Linked DNA regions of Diceros bicornis minor. The protein of the gene in region 3 binds, or shares a complex with, the protein of the main gene of each other region. Links are inferred from orthologs where the notes say so. Each region holds a gene or a part of one and is shown on either strand. Other genes may lie near its edges.

What was found.
Region 1: PPP2R1A (region 3) and STK26 share a complex: the UniProt entries of both Homo sapiens proteins name them as parts of the core of STRIPAK complex. The link is inferred for Diceros bicornis minor from reciprocal best matches to the Homo sapiens genes PPP2R1A and STK26.
Region 2: PPP2R1A (region 3) and STRN4 share a complex: the UniProt entries of both Homo sapiens proteins name them as parts of the core of STRIPAK complex. The link is inferred for Diceros bicornis minor from reciprocal best matches to the Homo sapiens genes PPP2R1A and STRN4.
Region 4: the proteins of PPP2R1A (region 3) and PPP2R3B are in contact, whole or in part, in a crystal structure (PDB 4I5N), measured with the Homo sapiens proteins. The link is inferred for Diceros bicornis minor from reciprocal best matches to the Homo sapiens genes PPP2R1A and PPP2R3B. Residues at the interface, in NP_055040.2 of Homo sapiens: Leu10, Ile13, Ala14, Ile17, Ala41, Leu42, Arg46, Ser49, Glu50, Leu51, Pro53, Phe54, Asp57, Ile59, Asp61, Glu62, Asp63, Glu64, Glu100, Glu101, Thr102, Arg105, Asp139, Trp140, Phe141, Asp177, Thr178, Pro179, Met180, Arg183; in NP_037371.2 of Homo sapiens: Ser122, Ser124, Ile125, Pro126, Thr127, Phe128, Tyr129, Arg275, Trp277, Ser278, Ala284, Glu285, Arg288, Arg354, Ser357, Gly358, Ala359, Val360, Thr361, Arg362, Gly363, Arg364, Gln367, Lys368, Glu394, Arg398, Asp401, Leu402, Asp403, Gly404.

What each region holds. Positions count from the first base shown.
Region 1 is NC_080781.1:120,366,066-120,373,918, forward strand, and holds the start of STK26 (serine/threonine-protein kinase 26), read left to right. Parts: upstream 1-4,846; 5' UTR 4,847-4,985; intron 4,986-5,084; 5' UTR 5,085-5,193; coding exon 5,194-5,235; intron 5,236-7,853. UniProt on the Homo sapiens protein: Serine/threonine-protein kinase that acts as a mediator of cell growth. Modulates apoptosis. In association with STK24 negatively regulates Golgi reorientation in polarized cell migration upon RHO activation.
Region 2 is NC_080773.1:22,277,198-22,284,900, forward strand, and holds the start of STRN4 (striatin-4), read right to left. Parts: upstream 3,004-7,703; 5' UTR 2,989-3,003; coding exon 2,707-2,988; intron 1-2,706. UniProt on the Homo sapiens protein: Calmodulin-binding scaffolding protein which is the center of the striatin-interacting phosphatase and kinase (STRIPAK) complexes.
Region 3 is NC_080773.1:28,670,524-28,678,043, reverse strand, and holds the start of PPP2R1A (serine/threonine-protein phosphatase 2A 65 kDa regulatory subunit A alpha isoform), read right to left. Parts: upstream 3,011-7,520; 5' UTR 2,950-3,010; coding exon 2,872-2,949; intron 1-2,871. UniProt on the Homo sapiens protein: The PR65 subunit of protein phosphatase 2A serves as a scaffolding molecule to coordinate the assembly of the catalytic subunit and a variable regulatory B subunit.
Region 4 is NC_080781.1:204,425-211,608, forward strand, and holds the start of PPP2R3B (serine/threonine-protein phosphatase 2A regulatory subunit B'' subunit beta), read right to left. Parts: upstream 3,004-7,184; 5' UTR 2,878-3,003; coding exon 2,596-2,877; intron 1-2,595. UniProt on the Homo sapiens protein: The B regulatory subunit might modulate substrate selectivity and catalytic activity, and might also direct the localization of the catalytic enzyme to a particular subcellular compartment.

The DNA.
Region 1 (7,853 bases), on a different chromosome or scaffold from region 3:
TCAACTGCCAGTTTTTTTTCCTGTTTTTAACTGCCACCTTTGACTAGAACTGTTTTCTTGAGAAGCCTACAAGTTAAAGAACAAATGGTCAATTCAATACATTTTAAAAAGTTAATTCAGAGGGAAAAAGTATCACCCGAATTGGTTGTTTAGCATCATTTCATGGTAACACATGAAGGGTTCTCCTGTGACTAAAAACTACACACTGGAGAGCACAGAGAAGTTACCTGACTTCATTACAAAGAGCCCAGTCTCCCAAAGAATCTCTCCTAAGAAACTCCCCAGTCTCTTCAGGTACCCCTATTGGCAACACAAAACTGTCATTATAGGATGACTGGTGCAGCATGCCATGGTTCTGTCACCATTGAGTAGACTGTGAGCGAATGCACGCAGGCTTCTGAAGGCCTTCACCTTGGGTTCAAGGCAACTAAAGATCAAACGTGCAATTCTGTGCGAGTTCAGGCAGGCAGCAAAACTGGAACCAGGAAGATCTATCTTAACATGCCAACTTTTGACTCCTACCTCTATGTGTGAATCAGATTGCCTGGGTCACATTTACCCCTCTCAGTTCTGTAACCAATTGGTGAAGGCAAGAAGTAATGAGCTCGCTTCTTTTGGTACCAAAACGCAAATATTTCAAAGTGAGTAAGGGTATATGTAAAGAAATGTTATAAGCAGGAAACCACTTAAGCGGCATCTGCTTCGACCCACCTCCTCTGTTGCTCTATTCCTCTCAGTAGTGTCAGGAAGTAAAGTTAGTAAGAAAATTCAGCTGCGACGAGTCTTAGATACTAGTTTTTGTTATAAATGATACTATGGTAGAGTACTGTGCAAGCCCCAAAAGGTGCAAGGTTATTCAGGAGAATTAAGCAATTATACAGATTTAATGCTCCCTGACCGAGAATTGATTCCATAGGTTTTTCCTTGGGATGCTTTGCTGGAACAATAGCAAGGATACAACATCTGCAAGAACTATTATATCATGGTTTCCAAGAGAGAAACCAAGAGAGTAAAGAAGAGATTTGAGGTATCACATATGCTTTTATATATATATACGTATATACAAAAGACTCTTGAATGTTGTACTTCCAAATATCAGTACAGAGTCTGGTAGCTTGAATCAAAATATTCCTATCACTGGATGGTGAGCTTCTAGAATTACCCAGATAACTTCCTTTGGTTTCAAATATTCAGAGAATTGAAAGAAATTCAGATAATTGTATCCATTTGCCCTTACACTTCATACATTTTTACACTTTATACATTTCAATGTAGTTATTAGGCTCAAAACGTGAAAGTCCAAAATGTTAAACCCTACCTTTAAATTTTGTAAAGTGGGGTAAGAGGTCAAAGTTACCTCAATGAAGTAACATATTTGAAGGCTCCTAGGTATTGCCTGGTACATTAGAACATGCTACATGATTAAATTATTTTTTAGACAAATCATTAAATTTTTCTTAAAGTTATTTTATGATCGATATTATTTTTCATTAGGTAGTATTCACTCTTTCGAGGCAGATGATCTATGGTTTAATACAAGGTAATATAAAAATACTGTTTTGTTTCCAGTACCCCCGTGCTGTGGCCCAATGTCTTGTGAGGTTTTTTGGTGTTTTTTTTTTTTTTGGCCCTAGCCATCACATGGAACTGAAATCCTCAGGGAACAGTAATTCCCAAGTTTGTTTTTTGGTTAGTAACCTCTATTGCAAAGAGTATAGAGCATGGTTTCTCAAACTTTGGCACCCTTGACATTTTGGGCTGGGTAATCCCTCGTTGTGAGGGCTGTCTTGTGCATTGGAGTATGGTTAGCAGCATCCCTGGCTTCTACCCATTACCAGTAGCACCCTCTCCTCCCCATTTGTGACAACCAAAAATGTCTCCAGGAGTCAAAAATGACCCTGGTTGAGAACCATGGCCCTAATACATTATGTCACTTTTGCCTACATTAAAATTTAGCCATTTCTGCCTACTTACACTTTAGCTCTGAACCAGGCCATTCAGTAAATATTTATAAACACGGATAAAGGTAAATATTTAATATTGAGGGTATGACAAATGTAGGAAACTGAAACCACAGATTGTAAATTTAAATTATTAAGTTTGGTGGGGATCAAGGACACTGTCTAACTTGGAATTCACTGACTTCGCTTAATCTGTATACAATCTTACTTTATCTATATGGTTATTAAGTATTCATCACCACTCAGGTCACATCAATCAAGCAGGTACCAAATCCTATGTGAGGCACTATGTTACATTCTATGGGGCTGCCAAAGAGTGGAAGATGTGGTGTCTCCCCTCGAGGAACTTTTTCCATCAAGCTGTGGGAATATGTTGTAATATATTATTAGACTCTGGCCTGACATTTTGAAGTAAAATATTCAAGTGTCCTTGTTGAGGGGGAGTACCAAAGCACATCTGAATTTCTTATCATTTTATTAAAATTGAAAAATATATATATATGAAAAAGCATACGCAAACCACAAGGAACTCCATGTAAAAACTCAAGTGATCTCTATCAATAATAACACCACCAGATAGTTTATTTAATAACAGTAGGCCTAAACAAGGTCAAAAAGTTTACTAAGATCTTAAAGCAGTATTTTTAAGGAAATGTCTCAATAGTTCAGGTCTCAAAATTTAGCATTCAGTCTTCCACGTTCTTTCATAACTCTGGCCCAGAATGATGCCAGGGAAAGTGACTTCAAAGATATGCTTAATTTACTTATTTATTAAAATTACACAACTTGCTCTTAGGTGGTTGTGAAATCAAAGTAACTGGAAAGAATTTAGAAGACAAAAAAAGTGAAAGGTGTAACATATTATAAAGTTAACAATTTAAAGATTCAGCAAAAGCAGTGCCTAGGAGTTTAACCAGGCATCAATAAAACATACAGTGTACCCAGAGTGTGGCTAGCACTATACTAACCTCAGTGAAGAATTCAAAGGAAATCCCTTCATTCATTCACTCAACAAATAGCTAGTGAGGGATTATTATGTACCACACATTGTTCTAGGTTCTGAGGATACAGCAGTGAACAAAACAGACAAAAATCTTGCCCTCAGAGAGCTGACATCCTACCTGAATAATTCTTATGTAAGAAAAGCTGGATCTCTGGCCTCAAGCACCCAATAATCTTGTTGGGCAGAATAAACAAATGAAATGCACGAAATAAGAAAAAACTACAATGTGGGTGCAAGAGGAGAAGTTTGAAGGAGGGCTTGGAGCAATGAGGAAGGCTAAATCAAAATCTGCACTATGGACATTAAAGTTGCGTGGCACTGCAGGTTTCTGGTCAGGCTGGCATTGTTAAGTGTGAGCTGGGCTGGTGGAAAATAGAGACTGGGTTGAGGCCTATCACCAGGTTAGAAGTAGTGAGGGCCTGGACTTGGGGAATCGGGAATAAGGAAAATGCAATAATATCCTTTATCATCTGAATGGATAATGAAAATGTGGTGTATATACATACAATGGAATATTATTCAGCCATAAAAAAGGAAATTCTGCCATTTGTGACAGCATGGATGGACCTTGAGGGCATTATGCTAAGTGAAATAAGACCTGGGTTTGAATTCCCAGCTCTACCACTTCTTAATTGTGTGATATTTTCTTCCTGTGTAAAATGAGAGAAAAGCAATATGACCTCAGAGGGCCCTCGTAAAGATTCAATAAGATAACATACATATAGCACTTAGCAATCCCTGGGGCAAAGGAAATGGCATCCATTAATAATAACGATATTGATAACAGTAATATGCTATCTTTTGAGAAAGATTCAAAAGGAATAAGAGAAATATTTATTGAGCATCTACTAGAGCCCCAACACTGTGTTGGGTACAGACCTACAGCAACCTGCAAGGTAGGGAATTTCATCCTCATTTTAAACTGGCACTTGGATATTACATTTTAAAAACGTAATTAACCCCTTGCAGGTTCCCAAAGGTACCTTCATAATGCGATTCCCGTAATTACTATTATTATCGTTGTTACCGTTGTTATTATTAGGGTGCTCTCAAATGAGCTTGTCTCCCTCCTGGAGTGGAACTTAAAATGGAGTGGAGGCTGGGAGTTGCCGAAACCACTGCTGTGTATGCTGAGTTCAATAATATGGACTGCTAATGATCCGATCTCATTTCCCATGCCTCTATTATCCTCATTAATTTTTCTGCCGATATACCATCTGTTTTCCAATTTCCCTCTCTCTTACACGTGCAGAACTTGTGGTGAAGAGAAGCCCCAGTCTGGCCGTCCCCCACCAACTGATAGCCCCAGAGGTAGCCGTAGCCTCAGGTTTAAGTCACCTGAAGCACGTCTGGGGGCAAAGAATCCGGAAAACAGGAGAGTGGCTACGGATCCGCCCAGTGGCGCAGCCGCAGGCTGAGGAGACCGGACCGCGGGAATGAGCAGGGGTCCACTGACTCGGTGGCTCTCTGTGCCCCCACCCTCGACCAGATCAGGGAGCCAGGAAAGATTTCCAACACTCCCCAAGTTTCAGTTCAAGACGTCTCCTCCGAGGCTGCGTGTGCCCCAGCCTCGCACGCCTGCCTGCAACGTGGCCGCGTCTGGGACGCTCTCATACCCCCAGGGTCACCAAACTCTTTCATTCTCTCTCCAGGCCGAGCCGCGTTCCAGGTCCCGCAGTCCTCAGGGTCTCCTCTCCGTGTGCCGGGAGAGTGTCCCCCTTCGCAGGCTCCAGCAACTCCAGCCAAACCCCTTCACTGCGTGGAGCCTTAGCTCTCCTGACACCGCCCGGCTGCGGGGCGGGGGCAGGGCCAACGGCGGAACCGCCCCCAACCGCCTCCCGGGCCAGGCGAGCGGGCGGGTTGCTGGGGCGCCTCCACCTCCTCTTCCTAAAGCGGCGAGGCGCAGACAAGCGGCATCACTCGAGCCCAGGTCCCAGCCACCGCCACACACAGCGCCCCGCATTCAGGAGGAGGAGCAGCAGCGGCGGCGGCGGCAGCAGCGCCGGGCGGGCGCCAGAAAGGTAGACTGAGTCCCAGAGAACCGCGCCGCGAGCTGCCCACCTCCCAGTCTGGGCTACGCGCTACCAGCCCAGTAACCCCACTTCTGTGTGTCCTTCCAGGCCCCGGTCGAAAAGCCTGGGAGGGCCGCGGAGCTACCCCTGGAGGAGGAGCCAGTCCGAGCCCAAGGCGCCACCGCCGAAGAAGCAGTGTGGAGCAGCAGTCGCCTTCATGGCCCACTCGCCGGTGGCTGTCCAAGTGCCCGGGATGCAGGTGAGGAAGCCCAGGCCTCCCCCGCCGCCCACGTGACTGCCCGGGAGCCCGGTGCGCGCTCCGCGCTGGGCACCGGCGACGAGAGGCGGCCCCAGGGCTCCCCTCAAGGCAGGGCCGGGTGCTCTGGCCAGGTGTCCCAGGAAAAGGGCTCTAAGTTTTTCTTGGAGTTTAGGCTAGGTAGTGCACTGCGCGAGGAAGGCAGGGAGGGACTGGGGCGCGCAATGAGGTGGGGATGTGGGGGGGGGGGGGCTTATAAAAATAGGCCAGAGCGAGACACCTGCGCCTGCTGAGCGTGATACGGTTGGGGATTGGAGGTGGGAGGACTTAATTTTGGAGAGATGGAGGCGTCTCGGAATTTGTGGGGTAAAACGCAAGTCGTGCTGTCCTACCATACACACAAGTTGGGGCGGAGCAAGACAAGGGGGTGTCGGTGGCGGCGGCATTGAATTGGGCTCTTCCTGTGTGCGTAAAACGAAGAGCGAGGTGACTTCTTTTCCCCTTTTGGTGCTGCTTCTGAAGGGCAAAGTTGTATCTCGCTCCCCCAATGGCCCAGCCTATAGTATGGCGTGAGAAATGCAGGGTCCTAGGTCCGAGTCGCCGAGATGATGACTCCCCAGTCCCCTCCCGCTGCCTTTCCCACAAGATGACTGTTGAGTGTGCTTAAAGAAAGCTTTTTGTCCTGGACAAGGGACTACAGCATGGGACCCAACTTCTTACTCGAGATCTACCCAGCCCCCCATTATTTTTCATTTTATTAAAGAAGAAATAAGCTATGTCCATACATTTTTTATGCTATGTTTTTAAATCCGTGCATTTCAAGCTATCTACTAGATTTTATCCAAGTCTACACTACTTTTAAGCATTCACGTTTTATTTTTTTCCTTTGCTAGATAGCCTAAACAACCCATTTATGAATAGGTCAGAGGCTAGCAACACTAAAGCCTCCGTCCCTCATTATCTTCGAAAAATGTGAAAGCAAACTTTTTCCAAGTTCAGAAAAAAAATGTTTAGAGTAGTAAATAGACTGCTTATGTTTCTAGTAGAAATCAAAGTGCTGTGCATTGGGGCCTCAATTTACTAACTGATGCATGGAATTCATCCTTTTTTAGCAATTGGTCACATTTTATGCATGGTCACAAAAAAAAGTGATTTTTAAAATACCTTCCCAAACAAGGACCATTTGTGTCAGACATATATCAAACCTACGATTCCCGTGTGTACTAAGCACCAGGCCTTTTCGCTGAATGTAGGGCAAGTCTGTGTTGAGTCCCAGGAAGTCGGTGTGTATTTAATAAAGAAGAGAGGAAGAAAAGAGGAAATGAGAAATATTAGGGCTTTTTAAAAGGTTAATCCATTCAAGCTTTACGAAACGCTTCAAACTTGCTTCTAAGGCCACCCCCCATCCTTCCCTCCCTCTTTCCCTCATCCATCCTGCCCTACACTCCATTCATTCAGTCCTAACTTTGATTGTATCAAGAGAATTAGTAGTTTGCAATAATAACTACAGTTTTGCTCTGTCTGATGTGGAAGAAAGTGCGAAAAATTTCCCGCAGTGCTCTCTCTTCCATTATGTGGAGGGTAGAATGTTACAGATGTAAAGTTTGTCTCTAAGGGTCTCCATGCTTCTCTCTCCATTGTGTGCGCCCTCCTGCGTGCGTACGTGCCTGCGTCAGCAGGGTGAGTGCCTCCAGTTCATCAAGCTTGTGATTCTGGGGAACACTGTGTGCCGAGGAGAAAATGGTTTGTGGTCTTTATTCATTTCTCTTGACTTTATTTGATTTATATGGTTTCTGGTCCTTATTTGATTTGTCTTTATTTGATTGGTTTAGGAATTGCTTGCTGTTCAGTATTTCTTTTTGCCCCCTGCTTTGTTTAATTATCTGAGTTCACTATCTCTTGAATTTTTAAATCTTAATTAAGGTGGCTTAGAATGTGAATCACATATTTTAAATTACAAATTCTGCCTTTCAGTTTATGCCTTCCCAAAGTTGTGAATACTTTGTCCAACCTAATTTGGGGAGGGCTATCATTCAATATTAGCAAAGAAGAGAGGAATATTTATTTGTCACTTTCTCTGTCTTAATGAAATGGTAAATTCTTAACTTCTTATTTCCATTTTCTTTGTGGATGTGGTTCTTAAGCATTTTGTGCAACACAAAAGTTTTCCACAGTTAAAATTGTACAGTATCCTAAAAATAAATTTGATGGCATGCAGTGTGACTCCTGAGCCCAGACTACTTTTACTATTCTTTTGTTCAAAAATATTGCAGATGAGATGCAGAAATATACCATGAGCTTGTAAAGTTCTCCTACAGTTTTGTTAAAGAGTTAGGAGCAACTTTTAGACCTTTTGAGTAGTAAGAAAACTTGAGTTAGCCATGTGTTCCTGAAATTAATGTATAGTATTTCCACAAATCAGGGTGAAGTGGTCGACCGGCCTATAACTTTTTAACAGTTTATTTTAGAGAATTATGAAGATTGATGGAAAAAATGATTTTTCCAGAAATAAAAACAAAATTACTTTATTCACAGTGTTTTTCTCCCCCTGAGGAGAGACGTGAAGTACAAGCTGAGCTACCTGTTCTATCACTTAAGACTTCCAGCATTCCTGACTTTCG
Region 2 (7,703 bases), about 6.4 Mb from region 3:
ATGAGCTATGGTACAAACATCCAGTGGAACACAGTCATCAAAAATGAGAGAGAGGGGCCAGCCCTGTGGCGTAGTGGTTAAGTTCGCCCACTCCGCTTCTGCAGACCAGGTTCGTGGGTTCGGATCCCGGGGGCAGACCTACACACCGTTCATCAAGCCATGCTGTGGTGGCGTCCCACATACAAAATAGAGCAAGATGGGCACGGATGTTAGCCCAGCAACAATCTTCCTCACCAAAAAAAAAAAGAGGAAGAGCTCTCTGTGCTGACGTGAAAAGGACACCAAGACCCACAAGTATGTGAAAAAGTCACAAAACGATACATATAATATGATCTCATACGTTACACAACAAAGCTGCACTACTTTTATACTTTTATAGCAATGAAGTTGGAGAGGAGAGCTGGAGAGAAGAGGAAGAAAGGGACGGAGGGGGACTTCCTTTTACACACAGACACACACACACATATATGTATACTTACATACACACACATTTCTGAGACCTCTGAATGTTCACTAATGTCACAGAACAAAAGAAAACAAAAGTACAGAGACAGTGATGATGTGGAGCCTAGAAAAGGAAGAGCCTTCTGGGTGCCATCCACGAGTTCCACTCAGACTCCCAGAAGGGCCACTAAGGGAGGGAATAACACACACCTTTTCTCTCATCAGTCTCAAAGATGAGAAGGTGGTGTGGTGGGTGCTGTAGGGTGCACCGGCGTGAAGTCCCAGAGCCTCGGGTTCACTCCCGGGTCTGCTACGACTGCGTGGATGACCCTGGGGAGGCTGCCGAGCTTCCTGGGAGCAGTTTGCTCATCTGAACTGGGCGGCAGAGAGCTATAGAGCATGAGCTTGAAAGCCCTCAGACTAGCCCTGCCACCCATGGGCTGTGATCCTAGGCAAATCACTGACCCTCTCAAAGCCTCCATCTCTTCTTCCGATTATTTTTTTAAAATGTGGGCCGGGGGGGGGGGGGGCGGTAATATCACTCACCTTTCCAGAATGTTCCAAGGATTAAATGATACCATGTATCTAAAAAACTCAGTCCAGGCCCTGGCACATAACATGAGCTCAATAAACAGCAGCTGCTGGCATTTTTGCTGAGAGGGCAATGGCACTCGTGCTGCCCACATAAAGGGGTATTGAGAAGATCTAATGAGCTGTACCCTGGGAAAGAGCTCCGGAAGTAGAGCGGGATGCAAAGGCGAGGAGCACTTACATAAGGATTCCTCTCCCACCCCAACCCTCAGCTGGCCAGACGGCTAAGATCCTTAGTGGGGCTGGGAGAACTGTGGAATGCTGTCTTTATTCATCCTATTCACAAAATTCTAATCAGTTATTTATTTGAGTCCCCAACTCAACCAGATAGGAAACCTCAAATCAGAAAGGGAAAGATGGGCTGCTAGAAGCAAGTGCTGACTTCTGCTAATAACACACCAGCCCAGGAACGCTCCGACTCCTGGCAGCCCGTCCCTGGACCCCTTCAAACTCTCAGAACGCTGATGTCCAGGCTCTTTGGGACACTCTCTGCAAAGGGACCCACACTTCTCAAGGTCACAAAACCCAGCCCAGCTCTTCAGGCTCTTCCAAACATCATCCCAGCGCACATCCCTCTCCCAAGCTACTCCACAAATCATGAGGTCCTTTCCCGGAAACTTCCACAAACACGTCCTTCCCACCCCCCCCACCACCACCCCCCCCGCCCCCCAAGGTCGTTCTGACATGCTTCCTCACGCTGCCTTCCTGCTCTGCAACACGCTCCCCCTGCCATCCTCCAGGGGCCCCCGGATTCCTCCTCAGTGTCCCCATCCCACGGTGGACAAGCCTGACCCCTCTCACTCCAGTTCAGAGCCCCACCTGACATCTACACACTCCTCCATCTCGGGGCTGCAGCCCCCACTCTTCCACACCCCCAAACTGGAGTTTCGGCTCTCAAGCTCTCCCACACAGGCTCCCAGGGCAAGTCCTGGCCCCGTCCGTGCTTCCACCGCAGGGACCCTTCCCTGCCCTCGGTACGCACACATGCCAGGGCTCCCCAAAGCTCCCTCCTCGGAGAGGAAGGCACACACCTCCATCCCGGGACTCCTCGAGAGCCTCTGCTCCTCCCGAGTCCTCCCACAGCCGTCTTTCAGTTCCCGTCTCCAGACGCTCAGAAACACACCCCCTCCCAGGCTCCCCGACTTCCTCTCCCGACTCAGGCCGGTTCCCCCACCCCGGACCCGGCGGGTCCCCGACGCCCCGTCTCTCCCACCTGGAGCCCATCAGGCTCCACCTCCAAGCGCACCTGGTGGGCCGGGGCTGGGAGAACCCCGCACCCTCTGAGCTTTCGCTCCCTAACTCCTCCATCAGCCCCCAACTCCTCCATCACTCTGGGCTGAGTTCTCTGGGGCTGCCCTGGGGGGACCCCGCCCCGGCACCCCCCGACCGGCCAGCCCACTCCCACTCCAACCGGCTCCGGTCCCCCGGCCTTCTCTCGCCGGACCCGGCCGGCCCCTCCCGCCCCGGGGTCCCCTCGGCCGCGAGCCGCCCGGGGCCCCCGGGACCCCCCTGGGCCGGCCCCTCACTCCTCTCGGGCCGCCGCGGCCCCCCGCCCCCCCGGCCGTCCCGGCGGCCATTGCTCCAAGATGGCGGCGGCGGCGGCGGCGGGTGAGGCCGGGCCGGGCCGGGCCGGGCCGGGCGGGGGGCCGGGGGTCCCGGGGCGGCGCTCACCTGCAGCTCGGCGCGCTCGGCCTCCCAGCGGGCCTTCTCCGCTTCGAAGCGCGCCCACTCGTGCTGGATAAAGTGCAGGATCCCGGGCAGGCTCAGGGGCTCCGGCCCCGCCGTGGGCCCGGGGCTGCCTCCGCCGCCGCCTCCCTTAGCGGCCGGGCCGGGCCCGGGGGACGGGGCAGGGGCCGGGGCCGCGCCCGTCGGGCCGGGGCCTGCGGCGGAGCCGAGCGGGCGGCAGGAGGAGGCGGCGGCGGCGACCGCGGCGGCCGCTCGCTCCTCCATCATGGAGGCCCCGGGGCCGGCCCGCGCGCCCGCCGTGCCTCGCGCGCCTGCGCGGCCGCGCCAACCTCCCCCCCCCCCCCGCCCCCCGGCCCTCCGCGCGCGCTCGCCGGGGCTGGGGGGGTGGGGGCGGAGACGGGAACGAGGCCCGGCGCGCGCCTCGCCCACCCGGGTCGACCCCGACGGCGCGCGTGCGCGCGCGGGGGGCGGGAAGGGGGCGCGCGCCCCGAGGGGGGCAAACGCGACCCAGGCGCCGCGCGGGGGTCGCCCCTGGGAAGAGCGGGACTAGGGGAGGGGTCGCTATGTGCCCCCCTTCTCCCTCTTCACCCCAAAGAAAGATTCAAACCCTCTCCAGACCCAAATCCCACTCTCATCGACAGTCAATGTCTGTCACTCTTTGAGAGAAAGGGCGACCACCATCCTCTCTCATTCCTGGCCAGGGGCGGTTGTCATGGTAACCTTTCCCCAGCTCGGAACACCCCAGCCTCCCCTCCCTTCCCCTCCACCTTTGTGGTTATGGAGTCCCAAACCTTTCCTGTACCTGCACCAGGAGGAGGTTGCTAAGGTAACCTAAGTCCCTTGTGGTCCTTCTTCCCCTACCCTCATTGGTTACTATGACAACCTCACCTAGCACTCAGGTAAAAAGGGCCCCAGCCCCAAGGACACTGATGGCTGAGGGAAACACTTCTTTCCTAACCCCTCCCCCCAGCTACTCAGTTGGCATTACCATGGTAACCATCTCCCCCCTTCCCCATCGTGGGAGGTCCATGGACCAAACCCAACAGGTGTTTTTATTTAGAGAAGATGCTCTGCTGAGCAGTAGTTGCTATGGTTACAGAGCCTGGCCCATCCCCAGAGACGTGAGAAGCAGGCAAGGCCAAGCCCTGGTTACTATGGTAACGGGGGCAGTCCCCCTTCCTGTGACCCTTGGAACTAGGCCCACTAAGGTACGGGATGTTTTATGATTGTCTCTCAGCATGGAGTGTGTCTAGGGGAGGAGTTGTCATGGTAACACCTTCTGTCACTTCCAGCCCTACCTTTCTGGACACATTCATGAGAGGGATGCTTAGAGGTTGCTATGATAACTAACATCCTTCCCTCCCACTCCTAAGATGCTCCAGGTGGTGCCCAAGCTTGTGCGACTTCAAAAGAAATGATTCCCTGACCTTCTCACTGCCACTTTTGTAGATAAGATGAAATTGTGCTCTATTGTGCAAAATTGGCTGATTTGAGGTTTTCTGGTTCTCCTTCCCTCAGCAGTGCAGCTGAGCTGGGCTGGAACCACCTGCCTGGAGCTCCCCCAGCCTGCAACCTAGGAGGTAAGAAGTCCCCCAGTGTCACCAGCAGTCACATGGAAACTGCCCTTTCCTTGTCCCCAAAGGCTTTCCCACATGTCGCTTATTTTCTCTGCCCATCACATACCCATTCTACAGATGCAATAACTGAGGCTCAGGCCAGGTGAACCCAGGCCTGAAGTGAATCTGGATCCACTTAGATTGTTTTGGGGGGAGTGGAGAGACATAGCTTAACTGCCCTTAACTTACCACCTTTTCTCTGTCACGCCCCCTGCTGGTTTCCTGCCCTATCTGTAAGTTGTTTGTGTGGTTCTGTCTGTCTTCCTACCCCTGGAGGGCCTGCCCCATGACTGCCTCCTTCATCACAGGGTCCGGCTCAGAGGGCACTCAATAAACATCTGTTTGTTGAGTGAATGAGTTGAATGAATTATTTAATGTGCCATCTTCAGCTTTGAAAGCCCCTGTCCGGTTAGGGCGGGGGAAAGCTCACTGAAGATGGACCGAGAATTGGACTGTCTGAGTGGACCCAACAGAGACAGCAGTTTATTGGTTGAAAGCACCACTTTGGAAGCAGCTTCTTGGGTCTTCTTCCCAGCTGTGTGACCCTGAGCGAGTGACTTCACCTCTCTGTGCCTCAGTTTCCTCATCTTTAAATGTGATCGTAACATGAAGATGCAACAAGTTAATAGTGTAAAGTGCTTAGAACTGAGTCTGGCACGTCATGAGTGGCTAGCATTGTTGATATTGTTATCATCCTATCATGATTCAGAAAGATGTCGAACGTTCGGACCTTCAAAATCATCGTTTCATCCACTTTGCCCCAGTGAAGAGGTTTTGAGCCCTTACAGTTGGGGAAGCTGAGACGGACCTTGTCGGGGTACTAGATGATTCCTTGCTCTCTCTTCTCTGGTCCGCTCCCCTCCTCATCTGGCTCTCATACCCGCTGCTCTCCAAGGACCTGGTTTCTGTCCTTTGTCCTGCTGGGCACCTCCTGGCCCGGAGTCAGCCAGACAGAGCACAGCAAGAGCCAGGGCCTGGAAGTGGAGACCCGGCTTCTGCCACCTGCCTCCTTTCTGCCTCTGAGCCACAGGTTCCCCATCTGAGCAACGGGAGTCCCTCCTTCATTCCACACAAATGATGCGTTTGGTGGCCGGTGTGTGTGGCTGGAGCTGAGTGAACGAGTGAGAGAAGACGGGGGATCATGCGGGGCTTTATGGGCCACCGTGAAGACTTTGGGTTTTCCTCGGAGTGAGTTGTGAGCCACAAAAGGATTTGAGCAGATGCAGAACAAGATCTAATTCGAGTTTTAACCAGATCCCTCTGGTGCTGAGTGGGGAACAGATTATAGGGGATGAGAGTAGAGCAAGAAGATGGTCACTTTAGAATCTTTAGAAAATTCTAAAACTATCTAAGGCTCTCTTCTGTGCTTCTGTGTACCTAAGCTCTAAGATTCTGAGATTTTTAAGACCTCGAAGACTCTGTGGTTCCAAAGGCCCCTCCCCCCGTAATAATGTGAGTTCCGTGAGGTCAGGGGTGTTGTCTGTCTCTGTGTGTTGTGTGTCCACCGCTGTGTCCCCAGGGCCTAGAACAGTGCTGGCGTGTTGTAGGAGCTCCACAAATAGACATTGAAGGACTGAAGGAAGGAGGGATCAGTCTAAGGGCCAGAAGGCAATTCCAAGGTTCTGAGGATTAAGAAGTCGCTCTCAAGGTGCAACTCAGATTCTTTTGTGTGTGTGTGTGTAACATCAGCCCTGAGCTAACATCTGCCAATCCTCCTCTTTTTGCTGAGGAAGACTGGCCCTGGGCTAACATCCATGCCCATCTTCCTCCACTTTATATGGGACGCCGCCACAGCATGGCCGGAGAAGCGGTGCATCGGTGCGCGCCCGGGATCCGAACCCGGGCCGCCAGCAGCGGAGCGCGCGCACTTAACCGCTAAGCCACGGGGCCGGCCCCTACAACTCAGGTTCTTAAGTACCAGCCGAGCTGGGGCAGAGAAGGGCATGTGGGACTGGGATGGGTGAAGAGGGTGGGAGAGAGAGGAGGCAGGAAGGCCAGGGCAGGGCCCCAGGCCCATGGCCACAGTGCGGAGTGTGGCTCCAGGGACCTGAGTGGGCTTTACAGACACACAGAAACCCTGACCCTCGCCATCAGTTTTTTGCCAAGTGCATTTTCAGTGCCCAGCCGTGTGCTAGGAACACAGCGGTGATCGAATGGCCCTGGCTGTACCCTCCCAGGTCTCACAGTCTAGTGGAGCAGACAGACCCATCCCCAGATGGTGCTGAACCAGAATAGGCAGGCCCGGAACGGGGGGACCCCAGGGGCTGCGAGAGCCCAGAGGGGACTTCTGACCCAGCCAGGGGTTCAGGGAGGACTTCCTGGAGGAGGGGCCATCTGAGCTGAAGCCTGAAGCATGAGTAGGAGCTTTCCAGGAGAAAAGAGGAATGGGGAGACGGGATGTTCAAGAGGAGACTCTGCTAGGCAGAAGGAACAAAATGTACAAAGACTTAGAAATAAGACGTGTTGGAGGAGAAGTCCGAGGTGGCTTAGGCATAGAGTTTGAGGAGCCATGGCGGGAGATGGGGCTGGGATGATGGGCGGGTCAGGGCCAGGTCACACAAGGCCTTGTGGGATGTTGTAAGATACTTAAAGTTTCTCCCCAGGGCACTGGGGAGCCATGGCAGGTTCTGAGCAGGGGGGAGAGGTCAGATTTGTGCTTTGTGAAGACTCCTCTGGCTGCCATGAGGAGGGGACTTGGTCAGGAGACCAGGAGGAGGCTGAGTGGGGCTGTGGGTGGACCCAGGCTGAGGGAGGGGAGCTGTGGGAATGGGGAGGAGGGGTCAGAAGTATTTAGGAGGTAGGAAGTTTAGCTGGGGCTCTGATGCTCCCCTCCCCGGCGGGATAGAAACCTATGAGAATCCCTCGTGGGGAAACTTTTTGAGTATCTGCTCAGAACCCAGAGAGAGTTAATTACACTTCCCGTGCTGGAGACCAGCCAAATCTTCCCGTCCTGATGGGGACAGGGAGACAGCGCCACCTGGGGGTTGCTTAGGAGTGTGGCCAATGAATAGGGGCGTGTCGTACGGCGGGCAGCCTCTCTTGATTCAGCCACTCCACTTAAAAAAAATTTTTTTTAATTGTGCTAAAATACACAATAATAAAATTTATCATCCTAACAGTTTTTAAGTATATAGTTCAGTAGCGTTAAGTATATTCACGTTATTGTGCAACCAATCTCCAGAACTTTTTCATCTTGCGAAACTGGAACTCTGTAACTGTTAAACTCCCCATTTCTCTCTCCCCACAGCCCTGGCAACCACCTTTCTACTTTCTGTTGCTATGAATTTGACCCGTTCCATTAAAAAAAATTAATTAGTGGCCAACATTAAGAGTTGGGATAATTCTGATGTGAGAAAACATTTCTGG
Region 3 (7,520 bases):
CTTAGCACTGTCTATCCTCCTCTACATTGTACTTGTTTGTTCCTTGTCTGCCTCCACAACAAAGGGAGCTCCATCAGGGCAGATTCTTGCCTGTTTTGTTCACTGCTGTTGCCCCACTACCCACATCAATCCCCAGCACACACCTGGCACTCCTTAAATATTTGTTGAATGAGGAGTTTCCCTTCAGACTTCAATGCAATAAAAGTAACAAAAGAATAAACAAAAAGAAACATTAAACCAATTGAAGATGTAAAAGAAATTTTTTTAAAAGGGCACTTCACCACCACCATATCACTCAAACTCCTACCACTTTCTCCCTCGATCTCTACCTTCCAGCCACAAGGACTGTGGTAAGCAGAATAATGGCCTTCCAAAGATGTCCACACCCTAATCCCTAGAACTTGAGTATGATACCTTACAAGCAAAAGAGACTTGGCAAATGTGACCAAGGTAAGGACCTTGAGATGGGGAGATTATCCTGAGTTACCCAGTCGGACTCAATCTCATGTCTCAAAATTAGAGACCCTTTCCTGGCTAGTCAAAGGGAGATGTGACTCCACAAGAACAGTCACAGAGATGCAACAATGCTGGCTTTAAGGATGGAGGAATGGGCCACAAGCCAAGAAATATGGGTGGCCTCTAGAAGCTGGAAAAGGCAAGGAAATGGATTCTCCCCTGGAGCCTGGAGAAAGAACGCAACCCTACTGACACCGTGATTTTAGCCCAGTGTGACCCAGGTCAGACTTATGACCTCCAGAGCTGTAAGACAATAAATTGCTGTTCTTTTAAGCCACTAAATTTGCCTCGAGAGTTTCCCATCCCATACGATGGTTTCTCCCAATCCCACTTCTATGGACATTTTGGGCAGATATTTCTTTGCTGTGGGGCTGTCCTGTACCCCATGTCCTGTATAGGAGGTTTAGCAGCATCCCTGACTTCTATCCACCAGATAGAGTACTTCCCCAGTTGTGACAACCAAAAATGTCTCCAGACATTACCAAATGTCCCGCGGTGGGTAAAATCACCCTGGTTGAGAACTACTGCCACTACCTGCCTGCTCTCTCTACCTGGAAGACTCTCCCCCACCTTCTTCCCAAGGCTGGATCCTTCTTCTGGTCTCATCTTGAACTCTGCCTCCTCGAGAAGCCTTCCTTAACTACCCTACTTAAAACAGATCTTCCTCACCCCACTTTGTGCTTGCTGTGTACTCCACCCAGAGAGCCTCATGGCTCCTTCCCTTGCCTCCTTCGGGTCTTGGTTCAAACATCACCTTTGCAGCAAGGCCTTCCTTAACTCCTCTTTAAAACTGCATCCCCCACCACTTTTCATTTTCCTCCTTAGCCCTTATCCGCAACATAGCATACATTTTACTTACTGTCTGTTTCCCCTCACTACAACGTACACTCCACGAGGCCAGGAGCTTTTGTCAATCTTCTTATATACCTGTGTCTACAACAGTGCCCTACGCAGAGCAGAGGCCCAATAAATATTTACTGATTCACTGTCACAACATGCTATGGTTTTCTTCCCACCACATCTCACATGTGTTATTAATGTATTCAGCTCTGTTCCACACGTCTCTTGTATAACAACTGGTGTCACCACTACATCCTCAGCACCATACCTGATATGTGGCAGGTGTTTACTGAACAAATGAATTCCTACAACAGCCCTTATGAACTAGATAATGACCTCCATTTGAGAAAAGAGAAAACCAAAGCTTAGAGAGATTAACTTGCCCATGTCAATCAGCAAGGAGTGGAAGAGCCAGAAGTACAACAGCAGCCTGTCTGACTACAGAACCAAAGTGATATACCCGGAACCTCAGAGGCTGGGCCCAGAGTAACCCACTCAATTTTATCAATAAGGAAATTGAGGCCCAAAGAGAGGATGAGACCTCTTCAACCAACACTCAATAATTATAGCTAACCTTTACTGGGTCCTCACAACAGGCTAGACACCGTTCTATTTTACCTGCATGTATTATTAACTCGTTCAGTCTCTCACAACCACCCAATGAGGTTAGGACTATGATTAGCCCACATTTTATGGAAAACAGAGGGCCAGAGCGATGAAGTAACTTGCATAAGGTCACACGGCGGGGGTGGGAGGTGCAGATGGGATGGGCAAACCGTGGAGTCCTCACTTTTCTCAAATCCTCGCCAGCCAGGCTCAGGGCCCTGAGCCACCCTATTCGGCTCACCAGAAATGTGTTAGCCCATTTAGCAAAGTGCCCACCTCCCAGTCAATGGGACGATCCCAAAAGGGGAGCGGGTTTCTACCTCGTAATTGACTCCTAAATTTGGCGAGCCGCCCCCCGCTCCTTCGGGGATATACACCAAAATTGGAGGGAGGGAAGGAATTGGAAAGGCAGCCTCCATCTCTCAGTTCCCCCATTTAGGGAGTTTACCCCACAGCGCTAAGGCCCAGCCGCCAAAACCCAGAAAGGCGAAAATCTACCCGGGTCCAGACCAAGCAGGCGACCCCTCCCCCATTCGGAGCAAGTCACGCTCCCTCTCCATCCCCAAGGGGCCATTCAGGGACCGCCGCCAATCACCGAGCCCTTCCCTGTCCCCGACCAACCAGGCAAACCCCCTCCCTGGCCGCGGCCTCCCAGGCCCGGGGCCGCCGCGTGCACTCGGCAGGCCCGGGACCCTCCAGACTCGCCTCGCTCCCGCCCTCCGCTGGGCCAACACCCAATCCCGGGCGCTGTTGCATCGAGTCCTGGGACCCGGAGAGATGAGAGCTGCACGCTGATTGGCTGCGCTCTCTCCCCGCCACGCCCAGAGAACGCTGAGCCTTCTCCGCGAGAGCCCCCGTGCCTCCATGTCCCCCTTCCCGTCTTCCTCAAGCCCCCCGTGGCCTCCGGACCTGGACATCCTCGTTGCGGAGCTCGTCTATGAGCACTGCGATGGGGTAGAGCGAGTCATCGCCGTCGGCCGCCGCCATCTTGGCTCCGTCCGTTCCTGTCAGACTGCGGCTACCGCCGTGCTGAAATCCGGATAGGGAGGGGCAGAGCTGGGAGGAGGAAAGGCGGGCGTGGGGGCGCCCGAGCCACTTTACAGGGGCGGCCCCACGGTCATTGGCAGCGCTGCGCCAGAGAAGCCCGCTTTTCTTTGGTCCGGACAAATCAAGTCCCGCCCACTGCCCATTTGCCATTGGTGGAAGGGACGAGAAGGCTTGCCGGAGCCAAGGAGTGGGGGAGAAGGAAACGGAAGTACGCGGTATCTTAGCGACCAAGATCGTAGCCGCCTACGTTGTCGCTAGCAACGGCCAAGACGAGCTGTTGTTTCTAGCCAATGAGGGGCAGGATTGGGAGGAGGCGAAGCCTGCCCGTCTGCGACTCCTGGAGAAAGTTTCTGCGCATGCGTCGGTAGGACTGCATGGCATCAGGAGGTGACCCGGACCGTCTGAAGGTTTTAGCTGGCAGGCGGACGCCCGGCGCCTTTGTGCGGGAGGGGCAGGAGGGAGTGAGGCTTTGATTTATGCCTTATGCCGAGGTCCAGAGAAGGCTGGCGAGTTGCTTTATTATCTGGATTAAACCCAAGTCCCTCGGACTAGTATTCAAGGCCTTTGTGGATCTGATTCCTAAACTCTATCTAGATACATCTCCCATCTCTCCTTTTTACACGTCAGCAGTCCTGGAAAATTAGCCCCCTGAGTTCGTCGTGATGCCAACAAGCCTTTGCCCAAAACATACCTTCTACTTGGAGAGCAGTTTCTATTCAATTGTCTCATCTCTAGATAAATGTCTCCCCTTCCCTGCCTTTCTTCAGGCTTGGCCCTCAAGCCCCTAGAGCCTCACAAAAAAAAAAAAAAAAAAAAAAAAAAAAAAAAGGAGCCACATAACCTGTTTCTCTCTCAAAATTCCCATCCCCGAGGCTGAGGCTGTGACTCTTGTGTTGATGTCTGTCTCCTCCCACAGAATGGGACAGGATTGGTACTGATTAGTGTCTGCTCCTAGCCTCACTCATCACAGCCCCCCTACCCGCAATCTTAGGACCACCCTAAATGAGGGAGTTTGGGCGCGGTGATGGGAAAGCCTGGGGTGCTTCTTCACCCATTATTGTGCCCCTTGAAGGGCAAGGCTGAGCGAGGACTCCTGGACAGGTCTGAATAGCCCAAGCATCTTTTCCAAAGACTTCTACCCACTCCAATTAGGAAACTACTCCCATAAAAAGTAAGGGGTGGTGGTGTTTCATAGTTCAATCCTTGCTGTCCATATTCCCAGGATCCTTCCCTACCTCACCAGCTCACTGAGACTATGGGTCTAGTTAGCTAAGGGTGCACTTTAAACATCTTGAAATTTTCTTTGTCAATTACACCTCAATCAAGCTGGGGCAAAATAAAAAGTCACAAGTGTGCCATGCAGAGGTAGCCTCTGCATCAGACAGCAACTACATAATCAGCAACTTGATTCTTGTCAGTCTTTTCAAACAACAGGCCTTTACCATAGACATCTAAATGAATCACCCAGACAATTATTCCAGCACTGCCATTTGTTTCCACAGTTCACAGCCCAAAAGAGGGGTGTCCTTATTCTGGCAGTCCATAGTTTTCCAAGTGGCACACTAAACAGCTAGACCACTGGCAGCAGTCCAGGTGTCTCAGATCTGACCAATGAACAGAACAATCACATCTAATTTTGGTTCTGCAGAGCTGGCACTAAGGCTAAACAGCCACACTGGCCCAGGGGACACCATTAGGATTTAGCTTACCTAAACCATCAGTGAATCATTTGGGGGAATCTTGAGGTCGAGGGTTCCTAGTGCGTGGCTTTGGCTACAGTGTAGAACTTAAAATTTCCTCCAAAGGGATAAGTACCACTTATTCTTGTAAAGCTGAGATGTCACTGAGGCCAGTCTGCCTTCATTCTTGAATATACACTTTCCATGAGACACAGGACTTTTGGGACCCTTCCTACTTGTTAATAGTGAAGTCCATATTGACTCATTCCAAAATTGAAATATCATGCTTGTAAAAAGGAGATAGCAGACCCAAAGTGGAGTCACTTGTGCTAAATCCCACATCAGCAAACCAAGACTTAATACCCAACCTAATTGCAGTTTAAACCTCTGTTGGAATGTAACCTTTGACCAGTCAACCTGGAATTACCTGGTCAGCACAAGTGCGGTAATCTACCTGAAAGTCCCCTTCCATTCCCTTCAAAATGGTGACCTTGCCTGAAACCATGCATTCTTTGCTAATAATTTCCCTTTTTCCACCCCCTCTCTGCCTTTAAAAACCTTTCCTTTTCTGTAGCCCTTTGGAGCTCCTCTCTACTTGCTAGGTAGTGTGCTGCCTAATTCACAAAGCCAATTTAATCTTTAAATTTACTCAGTTGAATTTTTGTTATTTAACAGATTTAGTGGCAGTGGCAGGACTGAAGGAGACTTCTGACAGCTTTGGGGACGAGAGACACAGGTGTGGTACCCATGAAGTCTGTTGAGTTCTGTGTCTTTCTTACCAATTTTGAGGGAGTGGGTAAGTTCCTCTCAGTTCTGAGCTCTGCTCTCTTTGCATTGAGCTCCTGATCTAATTGGCTTTCCCCATTTGATTGGACTCCCTCCCCAAATTCTCTCCCACTAGCCCCCCCCATTCCACATGGGGAACTGCTGGTGGTTATCCAACTAAGTCTGGAGTTAGGCTGGGTCCAATTTAAGCTGGACTGGGTCCAGCCTGAGGCATCAGGTGAATACAATTTTGTTTTAAGTAAAAGCTAGTGGCTAATGGGAATCAGAAGTAAAAAAAACAAAAACAAAAACAAATCCACAAACATTGCTGGGCATGGGTCGAGCATGAAACTGGGGACCAGCTTGCTTTAACTATACTCAGTTAGTTGTCTGGTTGCAAAAGTAGTTAGATAATGAATTACTAAAACCCACACTATAGACAACATCTCTGATGCCTGGGTCACCATGGTAACATGTGCTTGAGTTTTTCAGGAACTGACAGTCAACTCCTCATCCAGTTCAGGCTGGTTAAGACCACCGACACATCAACTGGGCCTGCATGGATGACCCATAGGTGACGCTTTGATGTCAAGGAGCTGAAAACTCCACCCTCAGATCATGGTGATGCTGCCATTTTGTGAACATGCATCCTATGAAGAGTCATGAAGTTTGATTGCAGATCAAACACAGATCATCAATTGCCTCACTTCTCCTTACCTCCAATCATCTATTCCCACTTCAGACCACTCTGCCCCTTTATCTCATAAATATCCCTAATCCCATTTTTCAGAGGTGGATTTGAGATTGGTTCTCCCATCTCCTTGCTTGGCTGCCTTGTTAAACCCTTTCTCTTTGCAAACTCATCATCTGGGTGATTAGCATAATGGTGTGGTGGGAAAAATGAACTTGGTTTGGTAACAAGCATTTAAAGGCTGTTAAGGGGGCTGGCCTCGTGGCTTAGCGGTTAAGTGCGCGCACTCCACTACTGGCGGCCCTGGTTCGGATCTCGGGCGCGCACCCACGCACCGCTTGTCCGGCCGTGCTGAGGCGGCGTCCTACATACAGCAGCTAGCAGGATGTGCAACTACGACATACAGCTATCTACTGGGGCTTTGGGGAGAAAAAGGGAAAAAAAAGGAGGAGGATTGGCAATAGATGTTAGCTTAGCGCCAGGCTTCCTCAGCAAAAAGAGGAGGATTGGCATGGATGTTAGCTCAGGGCTGATCTTCCTCAAAAAAAATGAATAAATCAATAAAATGAAAAAAAAATAAAGGCTGTTAGGGCACTGTATACCTCAAGAATACTCCCATGTTAGGATAAGTTGGTTATGAAATGGGTTAAATTGACACTAGGTCACCCACCAACCTCAAGAAAATTTCCATGCAACAAAGCACAATGTAAAACTACACACAATTCCCAACACCCAGGCACATCCCTCTTAGGTATTAGTTTGGCTCCAAGAAACCCAAAGGCTTAACTAAAAAGAAATGGGATCTTTAAGCTCCAAAGAGTCAAGTGTGCCACCTTCCAACACACCTGCTTATTTCATGTCTAAGAATTACAGTCCTGGACTGTAGATATCTAGCCAAATGGCAAAATCTTACTAAAAACAACCTAGAGTTACAATGGTCATTATGGGAAACGTTTCAATTAGACAAGATTGTTTATTTAAGAAGTTCACTGGAAAGCAAGAGTTCCTAAATTAAACAAAATGGAATACCTATTTTAATTGGTATGCAGAAGCTTCCAAAAGGCTGCAAGATTCCAAAATAGCTTCATTAAATGACTCATTACAAAAGGCTAAGGGAAAAGTAAAGACACAAAGGGCACCTAAAACAAAAGACTAGAGCACTGACGTGACTCCTACTGTTCCCCTCGTCCTTCACCTGAGCACTCATGGTTACTGATTCTCTGTCTGAACCGCCTTTCCACTCTGAAAAGACTTAAATAATTACCTTTTAAAATAAAACTACCTGAGGTTTCAGACGAATCTTTTCAGATATCTTTCACCCATCGTTCAAAGACCAAACTAAGGGCCATAGTTAAAAAATTCCCTAAACCCAGGGA
Region 4 (7,184 bases), on a different chromosome or scaffold from region 3:
TAAACATGAAAGTCGCATCCCACCAGCTCAAGGGAACCCAGGGCTGAGTCCTGGGATGTGGTCAAAGAGAAGGAAATGTGCAGGGTCAATCGAGGCGCCCCTGGCCTGAACCTTGACCTTCTCCTCCCGAGTCGTCCCTGGGTTATTAGGCATGTGAAGAAACAGCTCATCCACATTAAGCTCTCCTTTCCCTTCGCAAGGACTTACTCTAAAAGCACGCTAAGGTTTCTGCCGGTAGTAGCATCCTGGTTGGCACCATCGGCACAGACACACTGGGTGTGCACTCTCTGCCCCCGAGCACCATTGTCCCTCCATAAGGATGGGAAGGGGACCTTCCTAGTGCCCCTTTACATAGGATGTTTGCCAAACACAGAATGCCACGTCCCCACTGTGACATCCTGGGGCGGGTAACACCACACAGCAACCCCAGCCCGAATCACGCGTCGTTCTGGGACGCACCGTGCACTATCTCCACGGGGAGCGTGCCTCCTCTTACTATTACCTGGGGAACTAGACGGGCCGACGGTGACAAGGAACGGCCAGGCGCCTCACGCTCAGTCTTGGACGCGTCTGTGCACTTGAGGAAAGGTCTATTACCTATGAAAACCTCGTCCCGGGGCCCCTGGGCATCGCCCCGCCCCTGCCAGGGTCTGTGGTTGGGAATCAGGTTTTGTTAACGCTGCCTCGCACGCCGCATTTAGGGGGAGTACAGGAATGAGCTCTTCCCATTTTGTCCCGATAGACAGATAGGTCCCTTTGGGTTATTCAGCTAAAGCAGTCCACAAATTCTGAATACGTTCAGACATGTTTCAGGGTAACTTCAGGTCCCAGAGGAGATCAAGCGCTGCTTATCGAAACCTCTGGGGACGTTTAAGGGAAAATCATTCTGGTCTCGCTCCAAACTGGTTCCTCGTGCTGATTTACTCTGTCTGGTGTGGTGCACAGCAAAGCAGAGGGATCTTTAAATTCGCCCTGCCTCCGTCAGCAATTCCCGCCGCCTCTCTGTCATCCTCAAGCTTCTGCTCCCTGCACCCCCGGCCAGGCCAGGGGCCAAGCCTCTTCACTCCTGTCTTAGGCTGCTCTATCTCAGTGGCTCCATGCACTGAATCCGTCACCCTTCAGAAGCCTGAGCAGCCAGCCGTGGAACCAAGCGCAGACTCCTCAGCCCCGAATTCTGTACCCCTCCCATTCCGGCCATCACGGCACGGTCCGGGCTTGGCAGCCTGCCTTCCGCTGTCAGACTGCTCTGGTCTGAGCAGGACTCAACATCTGATCTTCACACTCTGAACTACCTTCCTGGAATATCCTCCCTTTGCCCCCTGCCCCCCCCCCCCAATTCAGTGCACTCCCCAAACCCCACAAGTCACTCCCTCTCTCCAAGCAGAAACGACCTCTCCCTGCTTTGAACACTTAGGGAACTTAATTCTCACTTGTTTGCAGCTTATCACTGTGCAGAAGTATATTCCTTTCACGTGCATCCAAGTTGCCATCTTTGCACAGCGCTGACCTGTATATTCTTCCAGTCCTGGATGATTCACACAAAGTCACGGTGTCACGGAATTCAAGAATTTACCTTAGAGGAGTGTGGGGCTCTGTCCCTGAGACATATTTAACGACACAGAGGGCAGCTCGCTAAGTAAGACGTGGGCACTGCCAATATGAATGCCTCCTGGGGCAGGGAGAGAACTGCCACCACTGGAGGAAGCTCTCTCAGCCCAGCCCTCCTCACAGATCCCGTGGCCTCAGTAAAATGAGGACTCAGACAAGACAAGGGAAAGCGCACGGAAGCGGGGGGTGCTGGGGGCCACGCGCTGCCGCAGGCCCACACCAGCGTCTTTCTGGGCACGTGTGGGGGGTCTCACCCAGGTGGTCTGTGAAGCTGCCTCTGGTCTACTTCCCATTCTCCTTGGGGACTTACTTCCCTGAAAATGTGCTACATCCCTTGGAGCGTGTCAGAAAACCACCAATAACTTAGAGCAAAACGTGTTCTCTTTGGCTGGACATCTGGCTCTCACCGTCCCCTTAGTGGCTGGTCCATTTTGGTTGGAAAACTGTTGCACTGACAGATAGTGAAGTCTCACTTCACGACGTGCTTAGTGCTGCTGATGGGACACTGGTTCCAACTGGAAAACTTTAAATGTTATCAACAAGTTCCACTATTTCAGGCTTTAGAACAAATTCTATGATTCTCCTACATTCACTATGAACCAACCACCTGGAGGCCACGTTTCCTTACTTTACGCGGACACAGTATTCCACGTCAGAAAGCACCTTTTCTGTAACACACCGCTGTCCAGCTGTAATTATCGGAGACAAATGAGGGATAAAACGAGACCAATCTGGGGCAAAACCGCTCGGTTCAAGCCGAGTAGGGGAAATCGCTAAGCGGGTAACTAACACCGACCTAGAAAATTTGAAACAAACTCCAAATTGCCACCGACGGGGGACCGGGCCAACGACAGCATTTTGCAGAATCTGGGGCACCAGACTGTCTGTGAACGCGCCGTCACGGCTGCCGTCCGTCCTCTGCGCGCCCCACGCCGCACGCGGCCCGAGTCACCGTCGCAGGTGCGAGCGGAAGGAAGGGGCACTCACCACTCTCGGGCTAGCGGACCTGCGGGCCCCGCGAGCGTGCGGCGCGACCCTGGGGCCCGAGGCGGCGCCCAGCGGCAGCGCGGCGGACGCGGGGGCCGGGGCTGCCCACGGGGGCCCGGGCTGGCCGGCGTCCCCGGCGCCCCGCTCGGCGCCCGCGGGCGTCTGGATGCTCTGCAGGCAGCCCCGGAGCATGCTCTGCGTGCTGGACTCGCTCAGCCAGCACAGGAACAGCTCGTCCACCTTCATCTTCAGCACCGGCTGCAGCACCTTGCCGGGCGGCATCTCCGAGGCTCGCCCTCCTCCCCGCGGGCTCTCCTGCGGCACGCGCGCCCGACGCCGGCGGCCAAGTCCGGCCCGGAGGGACCTCGGCGGTGCAGACCACGGCCGCGGAGGGGAACGAGCCCGGGGGCGGGGCGCGGGCCCGGGATCCGGGGAGGACACGGGGCGCGGGCCCGGGGTCACGGGAGGGGGCGGGGCGCGGGCCCGGGGTCACGGGAGGGGGCGGGGCGCGGTCACGGGAGGGGGCGGGGCGCGGGCATGGGGTCAGGGGAAGGGGTGCAGGTCTGGGACTTGAGGTCCAGGTTGGAGGCGGCGGCCCGGCCCGGTGGGGTTCAGGTCCGGGGAGAAGACGGCGGCCCGTTGGAGATACAGGTCTGGGATCTGGGGTCCGGGCTGGAGGCGGCGGCCCGGCCGGTGGGGTTCGGGTTCGGGTCCGGAGAGGAGGCGGCGGCCCGGCGGAGTTGCAGGTCTGGGATCTGGGGTCCGGGGAGGAGGCGGCGGCCCGGCCGGCGGGGTTCGGGTTCGGGTTCGGGTCCGGGGAGGAGGCGGCGGCCCGGCCGGCGGGGTTCGGGTTCGGGTTCGGGTCCGGGGAGGAGGCGGCGGCCCGGCCGGCGGGGTTCGGGTTCGGGTTCGGGTCCGGGTCCGGGGAGGAGGCGGCGGCCCGGCCGGCGGGCTCAGGAAGCCGGCGCCCTCCCTGAAGCGCTGCGCGGACACTCGGGCCGGACGGCGGACAGGCCGGCGCCGCTCAGGACAGCTTCAAAACGGGCGCGCCCGCCGCGCTCCCAAGGAAGGTCGCGTACGTCGCGCGTCACCGCGACGCGTGGCGTCATCACGCACGCCTCCTTGCCTTGAGAGGCGGCGGGCTGCTGTGGCCTCGCCGGGGGGTGGGGGGGCCTTTGTGGAGACGGGGGGTGTTCAGGAGCTGGGGTCCGGACAGGGGCGGGAGAGGGCGCCTGCCCCACTCGAAGACATTCCGCTTTTAGGCTTTTTAGGGGTGCAGCCCACCCCACACCGGCGAGGCGACTCTATGGCCGCAGAGGTGCGAGCATGCGCGGTGCGTGCTCGCCGAGGTAGGAGGCGGCTGGCTGGTGGGTCGAGCATGCGCAGTGCGTGTCCGCGGTAGCGGCGTCCGGGAGACCAGTCGGTGGAGCATGCGCGGTGCTTGTCTGGCGAGAGCGAGCCGGAGGCCCGGCGGTGTGGAAGGGGCACGGCAAGGGGACATGCGCAGTGCCTGCCCACCGGGAGCGGGCGGGCATGTGCAGTGTGTGCCCGCCGAGCGCGGGAGCGAGCATGCCCTACGGAAGTCGGGAGCGCGCGCTAAGCCGGGGAAGCAGTTTTTAGTTAAAAAACAGGCGACTTCGGACCTCAAGGGCCCCGCAGACATTAATTTTGTTTATCAACCAATAATGATGGCTTGGGAGTGTGCAACTACTTTAACCGCTGGCCTTTTAGGATGACAATGAACTGCATTTGTAATTGCAAAAATAATAAATCTACTTTGGTGGAGGTGAAATTACTTAAAGGAGCTTTGACCCCATGGCTAGCTTGTTTCAGTGTATACTTTTAATAGGATGGATAAATCGTCCACACTGCACACATGCACGTCTTGCCTTGACATCTTGACCTTTTTTTTTTGGTAACATTTTCTTAATATAATTTTATAAAAAAAATTTTCGGTTGTGTTTGCTCCCGTTTGGGGGTAATTTCGAGGTCTTATGAGGGAAGGTTCTCCTACTTGCCTGCAGTATAAATATAGCTGGACTCACTACATAACTTTTTTTATTTTATGTTTTAGACTTTCAGTTACTAGGTAACTTGCTTAAACTATGGTTTTATTTTGTGCATGCAGTGATTTCAAGCTGAGTTTGTGTTTCGTGACTGGAGATAAAAATCCGTGTATACTCAGTGGTGAGAGCACCGTCAGGCAGGAATTCTGCAAAATTATTTCCATTAATTGGGAAGCAAATGCTTGTGTGTGCGGTGCTGTTCTTGCTGGAGAGCAGTAAATATTCATACAGATCTCGGTTTATCACATACAGACGTCTTGTCAAAGAACAAATGGGCTTTTCAGTCGGGGTCTTTGAATGAGCAGCCAGGCACAGCTCCATTCATCCGTGTGGTTTTAGTGGGGAAAGGGGTTTTTTGATCGCCTGCACAAGACAGCTTTATACGCCCATGCACAGCGGGGAGGCCAAAGGTAGATGTTGTGCGGTTGCCAACGGGACGGAAATAAACTGCAGGACGGACACAGAACACACCTTCAGTCTGTGCCGGCCGGGCGCTGGGAACACAAAGCGTTGCTGTGAGGCTGGCGGGGCCTGGGACGTGCATGGCACGCCCCCAGACAGGAGCAGGAGTCTGCTGATTGCAGGAACGGGAGCTCTGCCGGTGCCGTCCATCTTCCAGGGGTGGCTGGAGGGCCTCAGGGTGGAAGGGCGGGGTGGGGAGGGTGTAAGTGAAGAAGATTCTGCAGGACTGTGCACGAGGTGAGGGCCGGGGAAAGGGAAGGTGAGCGGGCTTCCCCGGGTGTTATCCAGGAAGGGTAGGAGAGGAGGGCGCAGGATGGTTGGGGACGGAGGGCTGCTCCCTCTTGAGTCCACCTGAGCCAAGGTGCCTTCTGTGGCTGCAGCCCACGAGGCCCCTGAAAGCTGGTCACACACCTGCAGCTGCTGGGAAATGTGTATGTCACCCCATCCCATTGCTGAATCAGTCTGCCTTTTGCCAGAGCCCCGGGGGGCTGTCTGCACACTCAGACTTAAGAAGTGAGAACACCCCAGAGAACGTGTCCTAGGAGGTCGGACCTCACTGGTCCCGGGCTGACCCTAAGTTCCAAAGATACACTGGCTCGTGCAGCTAGAGATCAGGGAGCGATTAAGTTTCTATCCAGCGCATGTGTTCAACCTAAGTGGGTTTCGTTCTTCTTTCTTTAATCTGTGTTTCTCTCATGAAAACGGACTCCAGAATAGCCACAAATAGTGCACGTGTTTGATTTCAAGTCATTTCCTCTCCGCGTAGCAGACTTAAGAGGAGTTCAATAAAGGATCGTGTCCAGGTTCTTTTCGGATTGGCCTTTCTCGATGCTATTTATGAATTCCGCCTTTCTGACCTCTCCCTCCCTCATTTTTATTAGCTTCTCTTTATTGCTGATGGATTTCCTTTACAACATTTGGTTTCATTTGTTGCTCATTGAGACTTGCTTTCGCACAATTTTGAAGTGGGGGAATTTGCTCTTTTCCCCTGCCGAACCTTGGACATCTCATAATGTGAGATGGGCGTGTGGAGCCGACCGGCCGTCGAGTTCCGTTATTGAAGGTTGCATACTTCATTACTGTCGCTGAAACGTTTCCTTGTGAACCACAGTCACCCCGCACCCCCTTCCTTCCGGGACTCAGGCAACCCAGGAGCCAGCGCCACTGTTCTCCCCTCGATGAAAAGCAGAGTGGTTTTCCGCGATGGGTTTCCAGAGACGGCACGGTGGATCAAATGGCCTTTGAAGGTTTTTCAGCAAAGACAGTTTTATGGTCATTCCTCATGTGTCAGGGTTTAACTGCAACCCGGACAGAAATGGGGGGAAAACCCATTAAAAGTTTTCCATCTAAGCTGTAGTGTCTTAGGTAAAATGCCATACAGACCTAGCAATCAAGAACAATAGTTTTATTTGTTAGCTCCCATTTTGATAAGCTTTAGAAGAGTAATAGTGTTGGACAAAGGAGAAATATGAAACTGATTTATAGCAGTTTTAAGCAAACTAAAAAAGTCTAAATGATGAAAAAAAATGATTGAGGAGTGCTCATATTTTCCCTTTTACAGAAGTTGTGTCTGTGCATGGTTTTTTACTATTTACGATTAACGTTTTCAGACGTCACTTATTTTCTTGGTTCAGTATCCCAGTTTTAGTCACTGGCTTGTGGGGGCTCGGGAGCTTGGAGGTCGTGGGGCTGTGTGGCCCCCCGTCCTCTAAATTCTGCACCTTTTTCGGTTCTGGGTCTGCTTTTTGTTGCTTTTGTCCAGCTATGGTCTGAATGCTTGTGAGGAGCTGTAACTTCTTTCTCTATCCATCTCTCTTCATTTATTTACAATTTGTTTATTACGCTGCAATGCAGCATAATTAAACTGGTGAGTATTGGATCTTCTGAGTATGTGTTACAAGCCGGGGGACGTAGATGAATAACAGACAGTTCATGATCTCAAAGATATCGTGGTCTAATGGCATGGGAGGGGGGAAGTATATAATTAGATAATTCAATGTGCAATTATACAGTACAACATGGAAATGTTATGATTGAACAACAAATATGGGAAGAAGTGAC